Linked DNA regions of Callithrix jacchus. The protein of the gene in region 1 purifies or fractionates together with the protein of each later gene. This does not show direct contact. Links are inferred from orthologs where the notes say so. Each region holds a gene or a part of one and is shown in the gene's direction. Other genes may lie near its edges.

Region 1 (3,513 bases):
TTTGCCCTTCTCAATATGATTTTTATGGCTGCATCACTCCCTGCTTTGCAAAAGTTGCCTAGAACTGGGGTAAGAGTGGGGAAGAAATCACAGGCAAAGTGCCAAGGCATATGCACATTTAGTTTGTGAACCTGACTTTAAAGCTGGGATTTCTTTTTCCTGTCCAATGGCAGCCAATTTTGGAATCAGGAGCTGTAGAGCTACTTTGTGGATTGACCCAGAGTGAAAATCCTGCTTTACGAGTGAATGGAATTTGGGCTTTAATGGTACGTTTCACTTTTATATATATCATAATTTACAAAAGGAATAGAGCTATTAGTTAGAACTATAAATAATGTGTTATTTAAAATGTCTGGAATTTTATTTTTCAAAAATCTTGCTATTTTGTTCTAGTTTTCTGATGACTAAGACCTAGAAGACTTAGTACTGAACTAAGGTTCAACTGTAAGCGTGGTTTAACTCTAAGCAAGTTATGCTTCTGTTCTCTTATTTATTATTAAGAAAAGTGAATAGATGTTGAAACTTATCTAATTCTGGGAAAATACATTTTCCTCATCATGAACATACTATATTATGTGTAGTGCTACCTACTTGACAAGCACTTTCATGTCTCCTTTGCTCTGCAGAACAACTTTATGATGTCAGCCAGGAAGTTCTTACCATACTTTATAGATGAAGTAAACTAAGACACAGAACAATTATTTTATTTTTTTATTGGCAAATAAAAATTATATATGTTCATAATGTACAACACAATGCTTTGAAAGATGTATAGATTGTGGAATGGCTAATTTGAGCTAATTTACATATGTATTACCCCACATACTTAGCCATTTTTTGCAGAATGATTAAATAACTTGTCCGAGGTAACAAAATTGCTGCATAGAGACTTACTAATTTTTTTAACAGTTTCTAGTAAATAATTTATAATAGATTCTAAAATTTTATGAGGTTAGAGAATTGTTTCTCTTTAAGATTATTAAACTTTTCTTGAAATTGAAAATAGAATAATCCTAAATTTATTTTTAAAACATATTTATTCTATGTACAATTTAATTGCTGTGTACCAGACATTAAGCTGGGTGTTTTATCTTTATCTCTAATTCTTATTTTAAGATATATTGGTATATATTCACCTTACAAATGGAAAACTAGGACTTAGGGAGGGTAAGTGAATTGTGAGGGTGAAGGCCTCACAGCTAATAATGGAAATGGGTTCAGAACCTTTTCCAAGCCTGTATTTTTCTCCCTGTTCCATGCTGTATCTGCTGTGTTTTTGTACAGACTTTGGGATAGAAATAAATTATCTTCTAAGAAAGCAACAAATCTGTAGTTTCACAGTTATTTTTCTCCTGAACTTTGCACAGCTTTTAGCACTTCTCTTTCTTGAAACTTCTTCGGAGGACTTTTTTTTTTTTTTTTTTAAACTGTTTCTACCTTGCTTCCTTTTCAACCTCTTCTCTGGGAACATTCCCCCATTCAGTATCTGGTTTCCAAATCTCTTTACATCAGTTTCAGGGACTTCATCTCATATCATGGTTTCAACTTCCCTTTAATAGGTTACTTTAAAATCTACATATCCAGATGTAACTATTGCCTATTCCGCCAGTCTATCACTTAAATGGCCTCTCCGACATGCACAATTTTAATGTTGGAAATGGAACCTATTCCACTCTTCTAATCTGTACAAACTATTTAATTCTCATCAGTCTCCATATTACCAGCTACTGTGTTCTCTATCTGCAAAATATAAAACTTTAGAATCATCTCTAGCCTGGTCTCTTGATACATAGTATTCTTTTTGCTCTGCCATGCTGCCTCACATCATTATGTAACTTGATCTCTAATGTCTTAGCACTTTAATAAGTTCCTGGAGGGCAACAACCACATATTATGTCTCTAGTTTACAATATTTTTTTTTTCTGATACAGAGTTTTGCTCAGTTACCCAGTCTGGAGTGTAGTAGCGTGATCTGAGCTCACTGCAACCTTGAACCATCCTGGGTTCAAGTGATTCTTGTGCTTCAGCCTCCTGAGTAGCTGGGATTATAGCCGTGGGTCACTATGCCTGGCTATACAAGAGACTTTTGTATCAAAAGTTGATATATAAGTTATTTGGCATTTACCATGATTTTTGTTTTCTTCAGACATGTATAGCTTGGGATTCAGCTGGGCTAACCCATGATACAAATTAGAGAAAAAGGAGCAAAATAGCCACTGGCCACCCGGGATTACTGGTAGCTCAGATACACCTCCTACCCTCTGGAGAGCTTCCTGTGCAATATAGCCCAGCCATGCCAACACCTACCATAGTATTGTGAACACAATAGATGTTTTCATGCCAGTAAAGTTAACAAACCCACTGCTTATTTTCTTCCATAAATAAGTACTGTGAAATCATTCTCAAAAGGCATGGCACAGTATAATCATTAATAGTCATTTTGTGTACATACAGTAGGCAACCTGGTAACCATAAAGATATTCTTTTTTTTTTTGAGACAGAGTTTTGCTCTTGTTACCCAGGCTGGAGTGCAATGGCGCGATCTCAGCTCACTGCAACCTCCACCTCGTGGGTCAGGCAATTCTCTTGCCTCAGCCTCCTGAGTAGCTGGGATTACAGGCACGTGCCACCATGCCCAGCTAATTTTTTGTATTTTTAGTAGAGACGGGGTTTCACCATGTTGACCAGGATGGTCTCGAGCTCTTGACCTTGTGATCCACCCACTTCGGCCTCCCAAAGTGCTGGGATTACAGGCTTGAGCCACCACGCCCGGCCAAAGATATTCTTGAAAGTGATACATGAGTTTTGTATTTATTTGAGAAATCTTAAGACATTCAAATGCCTATGCCTGAAAGTGGTCATATTCCTCATGTAGAAGTATATTTAGGAGTAACAGTTACCCTTCTCTTGACAGACAGAAATATAGGTGATTAACAAGAATCAGGAAAATAGAGGGATTTATCCTTAAAGATTTTCTGCAGATTCTGTTTGTACTTTGAAAGTTATCAGTTACTATTAAAATATAATTTAATAAAGTAAATGTAGACATGACTCTTGCAACTTCTTTAATCCTTTCAGAATATGGCATTTCAGGCTGAACAAAAAATAAAAGCAGATATTTTACGAAGCTTGAGTACTGAACAGCTATTCCGGTTATTATCAGATTCAGATTTGAATGTGCTGATGAAGACATTGGGACTTCTTAGAAATCTCCTCTCTACTCGTCCTGTAAGTAAAATCACCCAGGCTTCCAAAGTAGCTAGCCCTGCATATGCATTACAAGACATTGCTCTCTCTCTCTGCCCTCATTAACATCTGCCCATAAGTGTGATTCAAATGCTACCCTCTTCCAAAGAAACAAGGAGTTGATGTCTAGACCTGTTGCTTTCATAGGTGTTCTGGGAGCTGCTTCTCCATATCACCCCCTACTCTCCACTTCTATACTGCTTATCCTATCTCCCTCTACTCCCTGGAACAGAGGAAAACATGACCAGTACCTACCTTGATTTGTTA
Region 2 (4,104 bases), on another chromosome or scaffold:
GTATTTCTTCACTTTTACAATGGTAATATTACTACTTTATACAGTTATCTTGAGGTTTGAATATGGTACATAGGCCGGGTGCGGTGGCTCACTCTTGTAATGCCAGTTTGAGAGGTCGAAGTGGAAGGGTCTCTTGAGTCTAGGAGTTCGAAACCAGCCTGGGCAACATGGTGAAATCCCATCTTTACAAAAAAACGAACAAACGAAGAAACACCTCAAAATTAGCCAAGAGTGGTGGCGCATGCCTGTAGTCCCAGCTACTCGGGAGACTTAAGTAGGAGGATCGCTTGAACCTGGGAGGTCGAGGCTCCAGTGAGTCGTGCCACTGCACTCCAGCCTGGGTGACAGAGCGAGTTCTTGTCTCAAAAATAAAATATTTTAAAAATGTGATTTAAAAAGCATTTGGTATATAGTACATTCAATACCAGCTGTTTGTTACTGGTAATGATAAAGTGCGCCTGCCCTTTTGCTAGCACGTAACGTCTTCATTGGGCTAAATCAGCCCGGATTCTAACCGTTTCTGCGATCATTGACTCTGTAGGGCTGAAGCCCTAGATCAATGGTCAGAGGCCAGCAGGAGGTGCAGCGGTCCCGATCAAATGCCATTTCCCTCTCTAAAAGTACTCAAACCCTCCTCTCTGCCCATCCCCGCCACCGCCTACCTCGACGCGGACGAGAAGCTGTGGCACCACGACTGCTGGGAGGCCATGACCACGCGCAGGCGGGCAACCAGCACCTGCGGCCTGGGAAGCTGTGGTAGTGTACAGCCCGTCGCCATGGCGACCAGGCTCCAGCCGCCCTGCAGCGAGGGCGGAGTCAGGGATGCGCCCCGCCCCCAACCCCAGCGCCCGGGGGCTGAGAGGAGAATAAAGCAGCAAAGGTGGTCTGGGACCCGGCAGCGGGTGCCCTGAGAGTCAATAACTACAACCGATTTGACCCGAGGTACCAGAATTGAGGCTGGGGGATGAACAGAGTCTATGGGGTAGGGAAGTGTGCCTAGAGGCCGGAGACGCTTTGCCGGCGGGAATTGTAGTTTTCGGTGTCCCGACGTCTCAGTGGGACAAGCTTATGGCTGAGGAGGGTTGTACTACATCTCCCAGAACTCTCTACCAGCCCGAGTTGCTCCGCCTTTCAAGAGCTCTGGATTGTGGGATATGGAGTTCACAATGTGGCAAGGCATGGCAGTGTTCAAAGAGAGGTACTGGATTCGGACTCGGTTTCCCTGCAACCACGGGAAGCTCACGGGCCATTGGCTTAGCGGGGCGGATCTGGTCTCGCTTCTCCCCGCCCCCATGACACAATAGCAGCTCCCTCCAAGATGGCGGCAGCGACGGCAGACCCGGGAGCTGGGAACCCACAGGCTGGGGACTCCTCCGGCGGGGGCGCTGGGGGCGGGCTGCCGTCCCCCGGGGAGCAGGAGCTGAGCCGGCGCTTGCAGCACCTGTACCCCGCGGTCAACCAGCAAGAGACGCCGCTACCGCGCTCCTGGAGCCCCAAGGACAAATACAACTACATTGGTCTCTCCCAGGGCAACCTCCGCGTCCACTACAAAGGTATCGGCCCGTCAGGCTGCGGGGAAACAAGGCTGGAGAGCGTCTGTGGGGTGTCTGCTGCCAGGCCCGTTTCCCATTACTTCCCTTTCCCTGCCTAGGTGCTCCAGGTTAGGCCTTGGCCCTTTCAGAATGTCCAGGGTGATGAGGCTGACCGGGCCGAGGGTTAACTGCTTGTTTTCTGTCCTGAGACACCTGCTGTCAAGAGAACCGCAACAGGTGTCCAAACCCAGTGCTGGGCCGGACCTTCCACTCCAGGGCTTCCTTGCTTATCCTAGGCTGTCTCCAACCCCAGCGGGACCCTTCGCCCCTGCTTAGAAGAAAGGGGTGGTCACATCCCTACCATTAGCCTGAGGCTCATGGGCTTACCCACCTGCCAGGCATCCCTGACTGGGTCTGGGGTTCCGTGCTAGAGTTTGGGGCGTGTCTTCCAGGTCGGCCTCCTCCCTTCCCTGGTCTCCCAGGTGGGCTTTCTGGATTCTAAGAGGCAACCAGCAGCACTTGGGTATCTCTCATATTGCCTATACCCTTGTTTTGTTTGTATGGACAGTGTCTTAGGCAGGACTACTATTCTCAGGAGGAGATGAGGCAAAGGTGGAAGGTTTATGTGTTTACTCAGTTGTCTAATGATTCCTTGGACTGTGTAAGTGCTTCCTCTGGCCACAGAGGAGTGGAGTTGCCATGGAGGATCTGCAGAAGAATGAGGCTTCCATTTGCATTTCCTTCTGCTGAAATTTCTTGCTTGCCCTCTCCTGTTAGGTCATGGCAAAAATCACAAAGATGCGGCCTCAGTGCGTGCCACCCACCCCATACCTGCTGCCTGTGGCATTTATTACTTTGAAGTGAAGATTGTCAGCAAAGGAAGAGATGGGTAAGTCTCATGACCACCCTCTTTCCCCTAACATGGAACTGATCCCTGTGGTCAGAGTTCAGGTCCCTTGGCTGGCACTTGTTGCTGATATGAGCTGTTGAGCTGCATGGGTCTGGGCTGCCTCTGTTTCCTGACTGTGGGCATGGTCTAGTCTAAGCAGCAGATCTTGATGGAAAGTGGGTGTGTTGGGGGTAAAGCAGGGGTTTCTTTTCAGTGGTGATATAATTTGATCCTAGAAGATTAGGCAAACAAGTAATAAGTTTACTTTAAAAATTTTGTGTTCAGAATGGAGTTTCCCTCATGAACATATGGTGTTTTTGTGACTTCCTTCCTTTCACATTCTTGCTGTACTCATGAGGTTCTTTTTTATGACATTGAGTCATGTAGAGGCCCTGGTAGCCTTCAAAGGGATAGTAGAGTCTTTGCAGCATTCATGAAAGCTGTTGTGGCCACTAGCTTGTCATCTCAGGGTAAACAGCATACACATGGTCAGAATCAGGTGACCTTGCTGCTCATAAACTTGTTTTTCAGTCCAAGGACTTGAACAGTACTAGTTGGACCAGCTTTAGGAAGGTCCTCATTAAAGTTAGCATTAGGAGCCAGGTGCGGTGGCTCACGCCTGTAATCCCAGCACTTTGGGAAGCTAAGACAGGCAGATCATCTGAGGTCAGGAGTTCAAGACCAGCCTGGCAAACATGATGAAACCCTGTCTTTACTAAAAGTACAAAAAAAATTAGCTGGTGCATGTAATCCCAGCACTTTGGGAGGCCTAGGTGGGCAGATCACGAGGTCAGGAGTTCGAGATTAGCCTGGCCAACATAGTGAAACCTCGTCTCTACTTAAAATAAAAAAATTAGGCCGGGCACGGTGGCTCACGCCTGTAATCCCAGCACTTTGGGAGGCCGAGGCAGGTGGATCACGAGGTCAAGAGATCGAGATCATCCTGGTCAACATGGTGAAACCCCGTCTCTACTAAAAATACAAAAATTAGCTGGGCATGGTGGCACATGCCTGTAATCCCAGCTACTCAGGAGGCTGAGGCAGGAGAATTGCCTGAACCCAGGAGGCAGAGGTTGTGGTGAGCCGAGATTGCGCCATTGTACTCCAGCCTGGGTAACAAGAGCGAAACTCCATCTCAAAAAAAAAAAAAAAAAAAGAATACAGAAATTAGCTGGTTGTGGTGGCAGGCACCTATAATTCCAGCTACTCAGGAGGCTGAGGCAGGAGAATCACTCGAACCTGGGTGGCAGAGGTTGCAGTGAGCTAAGATCATGCCACTGCCCAGCCTGGGCGACAGAGTGCGACTCTGTCCCCCTCTCAAAAAAAGAGCATTAGGGAGACTTCCTATTTTAGGGTGATCCAAGCAGACACAGAAAATCATAGGGGAGATATTTAATTTTTCTTTTTCTTTCTTCTCCCAGTCTCCCTTTTTTTTCCAGTGATTGCAACAAAGCAGGTGTTTAAGTTATGAAATAACATGACTGCAGCTACTTTAGAAAGGCTTTCCTCGGCCGGGTGCGGTGGCTCACGCCTATAATCCTAGCACTTTGGGAGGCCAAGGGGGGTGGATCACCTGAGGTCAGGAGTTTAAGACCAGCCTGGCCATCTTGGTGAAACCCCATCTTAAAAAAAAAGAAAGGCTTTCCTCATCATACTTTAGGTTTGGTGTTGGAAATTTGCCAA
Region 3 (4,057 bases), on another chromosome or scaffold:
ACAGAAGGTGGCCTGGCCAGGCTGGATCCCCTCCCCTCCTCCGCAGAACGGATGGAAAAAAGTTTGCTTTCTTTTTTTTTTTTTTTTGAGACGGAGTTTCATTGTTGTTACCCAGGCTGGAGGCTGGAGTGCAATGGCAACGATCTCGGCTCACCGCAACCTCCGCCTTCTGGGTTCAAGCAATTCTCCTGCCTCAGCCTCCCGAGTAGCTGGGACTACAGGCGCGCACCACCATGCCCAGCTAATTTTTGTACTTTTTAGTAGAGACGGGGTTTCACCTTGTTGACCAGGATGGTCTCGATTTCTTGACCTCGTGATCCACCCGCCTCGGCCTCCCAAAGTGCTGGGATTATAGGCGTGAGCCACCGCGCCCGGCAAAAAGTTTGCCTTCTTTAAGCATCACTTGATCTTTCTTTCTTTTCTCTCTCTCTCTCTCCATTCTTTCCTTCCTTCCTTTCTTTTTTCTTTCTTTCTTTCTTTCTTTTTTTTTTTTTATGGGGACGGAGTATCACTCTTGTTGCCCAGGCTAGAGTGCAGTGGCGCGATCTCGGCTCACCGCAACTTCTGCCTCCCGGGTTCAAGTGATTCTCCTGCCTCAGCCTCCCGAGTAGCTGGGACTACAGATATGCGCCACCACGCCCGACTAAGTTTGTATTTTTTGTAGCGATGGGGTTTCTCCATGTTGGTCAGGCTGGTCTCGAACTCATGATCTCAGGTGATCCACCCGCCTCGGCCTCCTAAAGTGCTGGGATTACAGGCGTGAGCTAGCGCGCCCGACCATCACTTGATATTTCAAGAGAGCACTGCGGGCACAGTCCAGCCGCCGCCCCTCACAGCCCGCGCCGCTCTCAGGGCTGGCAGCGCGGGAGACGTAACCACTTGGGGATTGGGACCCGGGAGCCAGGCACTGACTGGGTCTAGTACGGGGCCGAGGCCGCCTCTGCCAGGTGGGGAACCCGCCTAACGGCGAGGAGCGGTCGGGACCAGCAGCTTCCAGGCCGGAGGGACTCGGCACTAGGAAGCGACCGGGCGTGGTTTCCCTGGCCTCCGCCAGGCTCCCGCAGGCAACTCCACTCGGCACGCGCGGCGGGGAGGCTCGGCGGCCGGGCGCAAAGCCGCGCGGGCCCGTGGGACGGCCACCCCTCCGCGAAACGTCAGTGGGCGGGCCCGGGCCGAGGATCAACCGCCGCAGCTTCCGGTTCCGATGACAGCGGCGCTGGAAGCCGGGGCCAGGGCTACTGGGCGAGGTGAGAGCGGGCGGGCTCGGGGGCCGGCTGGTGCGGGCGGAGGGCGGGCGCGGCGGCCGGCAGAGCTGAGGCGCACAGCCGGGACAGCTCGGCCGGCCTCCCAGGCCCCAGCCTTCTCCGGAACCCCTGGTATCTCCGACTAAGCCCCGAACACTCTGCCCCTGGGCTTGTTCTTTTTGCAGTTGTCGGTCCCGGGCCGGGAGCTGGAGTCCCAGACTCATAGGTCCCGGCCCAGCCCTCGAAGAGCCGCCTCTGCCGGGGTAGTCGCTCGGCCTGAGTCCAGTCGTCGTGCTACGGCGCTGGGTCGGAGGTGAGCAGGTGCGCACAAGGCTCAGCAGGGCATTGGAGCAGGGTCTTTGGAAGGATGACTGGGAGTTTGCCTGTCGTTTGCATGTTAATGCGGGTGAAACTCCCAGTAGGCGCTGCAGTCCAGGGACAATGGTGGGCTTTTTCCTCCCTCCAGTTTTGGTTAATGATAAAAGAAAGATTAGAAACTTCAAGTATGGCTGTGTAGTAAAAAAATGAAGAGGGCGACAGGACAGGTTAACTGGTGTGAGGGTGGGGCAGAGGGGTGGTCAGCATTAGATACTGTGGTCTACTGCACAGCATCTTTGAAGATGTGACATTTGCGTTGAGACCCAAATTAGGAGGCAGTCACAGGAAGATATGGGGAGAGAGTGGTCCAGGCAGCGGGAACAACCAGTATGAAGGCCCTGAGGCAGATATTAACTGGGAGTAGTCAAGGAACAGAAAGCAAGCTAGTGTGACTGGAGTATGGCAAGAAAGAGAGTGGTAGCAGATGAGGTCAGAGAGTTGCGGTTTGCTCACATAACATAGAGCCTGTAGGTGGTAGAAAGGAACCTGGAGATTTTTCTAAGTGGAAAAATCTTTTGGTTTTAAGCAGAGGAGTGACATATAGGGTAGAGAATGGATAGAGGTGGCGGCTGTAAAAGCATAAGAATTGGCTGGGCACAGGGGTTCACGCCTATAATTCCAGCACAGGAATTACAGGAGGCCGAGGCTGGCAGATGGCTTGAGCTCAGCAGTTCAAGACCAGCCTGGCTAAACATGGGGAAACCCTGTCTCTCCAGAAAAATTAGGCTGGGCACTGTGGCTCACACCTGTAATCCCAGAAGTTTGGGAGGCCGAGGCAGGAGGATCACTTGAGACCAGGAGTTGGAGACCACCCTAGCCAACATGGTGAAACCCCATCTCTACTAAAAATACAAAAATTAGCTGGGCATGGTAGCAGGTGCCTGTAATTCCAGCTACTTGGGAGGCTGAGGCAGGAGCATCGCTTGAAACTGGGAGGTAGAAGTTGCAATAAGCCAAGATTGTGCCACTGCACTCCAGCCTTGGTGACAGGGCGAGACCGAGAGGAGACTCCCTCTCAAAAACAAACAACAACAAAAAAATAGCTGGGTGTGGTGGGGAGAGAGGGGAAGAATTGGGACAAAAAGGAATACATAAATAAATACAAAGGAGAAAAGGCCCTGCATGTACTAAGTAAATGTGTCATGAACTGGGAAGCGTTCGTGGCGCCTGTAATCTCAGCTTCTCGGGGTGGGGGGCTAAGGTGAGAGGATCACTGTAGCCCAGGAGGTCGAGGCTTCAGTGAGCCTTGATTATACCATAGCACTCTGGCCTAGGCAACCGATTGAGACCCTGTCTCTCTCTCTCTCTCTTTTTTTTTAACAACCATAAAAAAAAAAAAAAAAAAAAAAACCTCTGCCTCAAAAAAAAAAAGGCATTAAGAATTGGGTCAATGGAGGTTGTCTAATCTTGTCAGACAAAAGGGACCTTTATGATTTGCTCAAACTTCCTTTCTCCCTGCCCAGGAGCCCCTCATTTCAGGATGCTGAATACTCCAGGAAAAACCTCCATGCATACCTTGGTGGGGATTTTAATATTTCACTCATGTCTCTTTCTGCCACCCCTACACATTTGAGCTCAGGCTCTCTAGGCCAAAGTTAGGAAACGGATGTGTCATTTAATCAGCAAATGTTTACTGAGCACCTATCATGGACCAGGCCCTGGTCTGGGAACTGACGGGGAGAAAGAACCAAACTACACTCCAGCCATTGAGCAGTTCACAGACCAATGTGGGAGGCCAAGGTGGACAGGCTGTTACTGTGCTGCAGTAGTTGAGGACTCAGATGGGTGCGGTATGGCCACTCTTGCCAGGTTATGAAGCAGAAAAAGAGGCTGGGAGATTTCACTGAGGGCTCAAGGGGAGGTGATGATTAAACTACAGCTTATGCGCTCTATACAAAGAAGTACAGAGGGCACTCTAAAAATAGGAACTTGTACAAAGGAAGCAAATATATAATTGGAAAGGGCTTACATGTCAACCCATGGCAGTGTGGGGCAAAAGGTAACAGGATCTGGTGTTTGTTGTGGAGGGTTGTCCTGGTGGATAATTTCTGTATATGTGGGACTTTGGGAGGAAGGCTTAGGACAAGTGAACATGAAATTTTAATCATCAGCACTTGTATTAATCATGAAGTTTGTCAAAGACAAATACAATTCCTTGTGCCTGATGATTGATTCAGGCAGAGTGGCTTGCTCTGGACAGACTGAATTAACCTCCTGGACTTTTTGGATAGAACACTCGCAAACAGTTCTGTTTTCTCAGCTAATTTATTTTATTTTTACTTCGATTTTTTTTTTTTTTTTGAGATGGAGTCTTGCTCGGTCACCTAGGCTGGAGTGCAGTGGTGCAATCTCAGCTCACTGCAACCTCCGCCTCCCAAGTTCAAGCAGTCCTCCTGCCTCAGCCTCCCAAGTTGCTGGAATTACAGGTGCTTGCA
Region 4 (3,744 bases), on another chromosome or scaffold:
ATATTGCAAAGAAGACTTCTAAAAATGTTGTACTATTTAATATTCTCACAGAATATGTGAATATTTGTTTTTCCATATCCTCACCAACTCCAAATATAACCAATATTTGTCTTTTCTAATTGTATAAATAAAAAATTAACTCATTTTTATTCTCAATAGATCTCAATTCTGTGAGTATATGCTATTATTCCCTTCTTTCAGATGAGGAAGCTCAGGCTCACAATGTGTACCTGACAATTGATTAATTGATGATTCTTCAGGCAGCACAGCTTCCTGGTAACACCAACATGAGGACTGTAGGACAAAACATTAGTCTTTTTTAAGAAAAAATTTAATCATTTTCCTCAAAAAAACTTCTGATACAACAACAGTTGTTGTATTAGAACTGCTTTCACTTTAAAAGCAGTTGCTATATGCTGGGCACTATTCTGAGCACTGTACATGTATTAACTCATGTAATTAAAGTAATTTTATCTCTGTTTTTTCTGACTATAAGAAGATAAAGGTTGCCCAGCACAGTGGCTCAGGCCTGTAATCCCAGCACTTTGAGAGGTAGAAGCGGAAGGATCACTTAAGCCCAGGAGTCCGAGACCAGCCTGGGCAACATAGAGAGATCCTATCTCTACAAAAATATTAAAAGACTAGCTGGGCATGGTGGCACACACCTGTAGTCCCAACTACTTGGGAGTCTGAGGTGAGACTCTTGTGTCCAAGAGTTTGAGGCTGCAGTGAGCTGTGACCGTGCCACTGTATCGTGGCACTCCGGCCTGGGCAACAGCGTGAGATCCTGTCTCAAAAAAAAAAAAAAAAAGAGAGAGAGAGTAAAGTTACCTTAAAAAAAAAAAAGAATATGGAAGTACGGAGAATAAACAGTAAAAAATGCATTCAAAAATCTCACTCTTGTTCCAAGGTATTTTTTGTTTCACAACTGCTGCCAAGCACACTCTGCCCCTCAACAGCTAAGGACCAGATTGCAGATGACATGGAGGCTAGGGGAGGGAGTTATCCTGGGAGTGGAAGACTGGAAGAGACAATTCTCAGAGAAAAAGTAGAAAAGTTCAGTAGCTCTAGGAAAAGAGGTAGCTCCTCCCTAGTAATCAGAGTCAAGCAAATAACATTTTCCCCTTTGGGATAGGAAACAATAGAAAAGACTGACAGGGCCAAATGTATAAGTAGGGGGCGGGGAGGGAGCAGAGGGTGGGCCCACTTCTGCCGCGCTTTTGGTGGGAGTGGAAATTAGGGACCCGAGCTCACTGGTGACGTAGATCTCATGTGACCAGGAGTCGACGTGTGCAGAAGTCCTGCTAGTCTGGTCCTTGTTCCAGCCTCCTTCAGCAGTGCAGACGGTGGTACCTGAGGCCAGTGGAAGGAGTCAAACTTGCTGGAATTTTGCAGGTTAGTGTGAATGTACTTGTTGACTGGAGATTTCTAGCGTGGGCGGTTTAGGGCAGAGACTGTGGGAGTGCCAGTCAGGTCCGTCTCTCCACTCTCCACCTCCAGGTCTACAGGAAATGATGACCCTTGGGAAGGGGACTAGGAATCCTAGGAGAAGAACAAGGAGACTTGTGATAGTTTATAAAAATAATCATCCTCTGCTATCTAAGACTGCTTTTCGGATCCGCACCCTCCTCCCGAACCCCGCCTCAGTCTTAAGGATAGTTTGGAAATAATCTGCTTTCTCACTCTTTGTCTAATGGTTAAAACGAACTAACATGCACTGTGGAGAGAGGGCGAACTGGGAGAAACAAAAGGTGGGAAACTTTCCATAACCGAAACCCTAAAGGAGGAAAGCTATGTGTGTCAGTTTCGGGTGCCGGTCAGCCCACCAAGGGCTCTCCCCACCTCCACCGTCCCCTCCCGTTTCCCGTTTGTCTGCAGGTCTGTGTTTCTAGCAAGACCCAAAGGTAAAAAAGCAGAAGGAAGAAACTGACCCGGTCAGTGCCAGGTAGGTGAAAGGAACATTATAAAGTCTCCTGGGGTAGAGACAAAGGTTGTAAGCTCCACTGTTCCTGCCGGCTCCCTTCCACCCCACCTCATTTCCCTCTTTTTTTCTCTCCCCTTTCTCCTTTCCCCTCTTCCTCTACCTGCCAGCCCCCTTTCTCTTTTCTGGGCTGGTCCGTGTATTAGGCCCTAAGGGGGAAAAAGGATTGGGGAGGGCTGGGAGGCAGAAAGAAGGCGGTGCAAAAGGTTAGAGGGAAGGAAAAGAGAGAAGTGCAGAGGTGGAAAGTGGTGGTAAGAGGAGTAGGAATAGGGAAGCTGTGATTGCTGACTGGACTTCTTAGGTGGAAGATATTTTATAATAGCTTTGAATAAAAAAAAATGCTAAGACCTCTGTCCATGGCACGTGTCCACTGACCAAGTGTTTAATCTTTAACTTACTGTCTTCTTTTTGCTTTCTAGAAGTCATTGTATTCAAAGAGGAATAAGAAAAAAAAAAAGGAAAAGGAAGATACAAGATGAAATCCTGTCAAAAAATTGAAGGAAAACCAGAAAATGAGAGTGAACCAAAGCATGAGGAAGAGCCAAAACCTGAGGAAAAGCCGGAGGAGGAGGAGGAGCTAGAGGAGGAGGCCAAAGCAAAAGGAGCTTTTAGAGAGAAGCTGATTCAATCTCTCCAGGAATTTAAAGAAGATATACACAACAGGCATTTAAGCAATGAAGATATGTGTAGAGAAGTGGATGAAATGGATGAGATAAGGAGAGTCAGAAACAAACTTGTAGTGATGCGTTGGAAGGTTAATCGAAACCATCCTTACCCTTACTTAATGTAGTTTACCTTAACTTGTATCTGATATTAACAATACCATATAGCTTGCTTTTTATTAGCATTTTCCTCATATACCTTTGTCCATATTTCTACTTCTAACCTGTTGCTGTTAATGATTTTAGATGTATCTCTTATTATCTGCATCTCATTGTTTATCATATTTTGAACCAATCTACAAGTCTCTGTCTTTTGGTAAGAGAACTTTACTCATTTGTAAAAACAGAGGTTCTTGGTAGGATATAAAATGGAAAAAGGCTACTAAGTAATATGTGAATATCTTATTTTTGAAAGGTAAAGAGTACATTTGTATATTACATATATGGACATAACTTGTGAAGGATGAAAGAAAGTACAGCCTCTCGGTGGAATTATGAATGACTTTTCTCCTTTTGCTTATTTGTATTTTCTATATTCCTAAAATTAACACGCATTGTTATTGCTAGAATAATAAAAGTTTATAACAAAAAGAAGCAACAAGAAGCACTTGCTAGTTTATTTCTAAAAGTATTGGGGCATTTAATATTTGTTGACAGAATTTTAGAAGAAATGTGAACTTCAAAGTAACACCGGACCGCTTAGCCAGAATAATAAATTTTACCTATTTTCTCATCTTTAAAATAATCTCACAAGAATTTTGTGAGGGCCAAATAAGGTAATGACTGTGAGCTATGTTTGACAGGGTATTGTTCCCATCGCAGCTCTGTAAGAGATTAATTTTGGCGATTTGGAAGGGTGAAGAAAGTAGTTATTATCTGTGACTAAGAACAAACCCAAACAACCATGAGGTGGGTGCCACCTTTATGTTTCTTTCCTGATATGCCTGCCCAGCCTCTCATGCCCCTGCCTTGGATACTACCATATACACTGGGTTTTCTGTCCCTTCTGCTGGGTCCTGCACCTTCAGGCCCCTATCACTATGGATGTGCTAGAATTCTCAAGTATATTACAACATATTTCTTTGGCACCCCCAGTAAGCT

What was found. Proteins that work in one complex are often made in the same cells at the same time.
Region 2: the proteins of ARMC8 (region 1) and RANBP10 purify together in Homo sapiens (affinity purification with mass spectrometry; 5 studies listed by BioGRID and IntAct, with this or other methods). This does not show direct contact. The link is inferred for Callithrix jacchus from reciprocal best matches to the Homo sapiens genes ARMC8 and RANBP10.
Region 3: the proteins of ARMC8 (region 1) and RMND5B purify together in Homo sapiens (affinity purification with mass spectrometry; 4 studies listed by BioGRID and IntAct, with this or other methods). This does not show direct contact. The link is inferred for Callithrix jacchus from reciprocal best matches to the Homo sapiens genes ARMC8 and RMND5B.
Region 4: the proteins of ARMC8 (region 1) and TCEAL9 purify together in Homo sapiens (affinity purification with mass spectrometry; 3 studies listed by BioGRID and IntAct, with this or other methods). This does not show direct contact. The link is inferred for Callithrix jacchus from reciprocal best matches to the Homo sapiens genes ARMC8 and TCEAL9.

Annotation. Positions count from the first base shown.
Region 1 is NC_133518.1:46,057,227-46,060,739, reverse strand, and holds part of ARMC8 (armadillo repeat-containing protein 8), read left to right. Parts: intron 1-173; coding exon 174-266; intron 267-3,078; coding exon 3,079-3,228; intron 3,229-3,513. UniProt on the Homo sapiens protein: Component of the CTLH E3 ubiquitin-protein ligase complex that selectively accepts ubiquitin from UBE2H and mediates ubiquitination and subsequent proteasomal degradation of the transcription factor HBP1.
Region 2 is NC_133521.1:25,329,146-25,333,249, reverse strand, and holds the start of RANBP10 (ran-binding protein 10), read left to right. Parts: upstream 1-1,294; 5' UTR 1,295-1,318; coding exon 1,319-1,553; intron 1,554-2,309; coding exon 2,310-2,421; intron 2,422-4,104. Other genes in the region: TSNAXIP1 (translin-associated factor X-interacting protein 1), read right to left, coding at 663-778. UniProt on the Homo sapiens protein: May act as an adapter protein to couple membrane receptors to intracellular signaling pathways.
Region 3 is NC_133503.1:70,672,612-70,676,668, reverse strand, and holds the start of RMND5B (E3 ubiquitin-protein transferase RMND5B), read left to right. Parts: upstream 1-1,247; 5' UTR 1,248-1,565; intron 1,566-4,057. UniProt on the Homo sapiens protein: Core component of the CTLH E3 ubiquitin-protein ligase complex that selectively accepts ubiquitin from UBE2H and mediates ubiquitination and subsequent proteasomal degradation of the transcription factor HBP1.
Region 4 is NC_133524.1:99,429,077-99,432,820, forward strand, and holds TCEAL9 (transcription elongation factor A protein-like 9), read left to right. Parts: upstream 1-1,292; 5' UTR 1,293-1,395; intron 1,396-1,878; 5' UTR 1,879-1,945; intron 1,946-2,400; 5' UTR 2,401-2,456; coding exon 2,457-2,771; 3' UTR 2,772-3,234; downstream 3,235-3,744. UniProt on the Homo sapiens protein: May be involved in transcriptional regulation.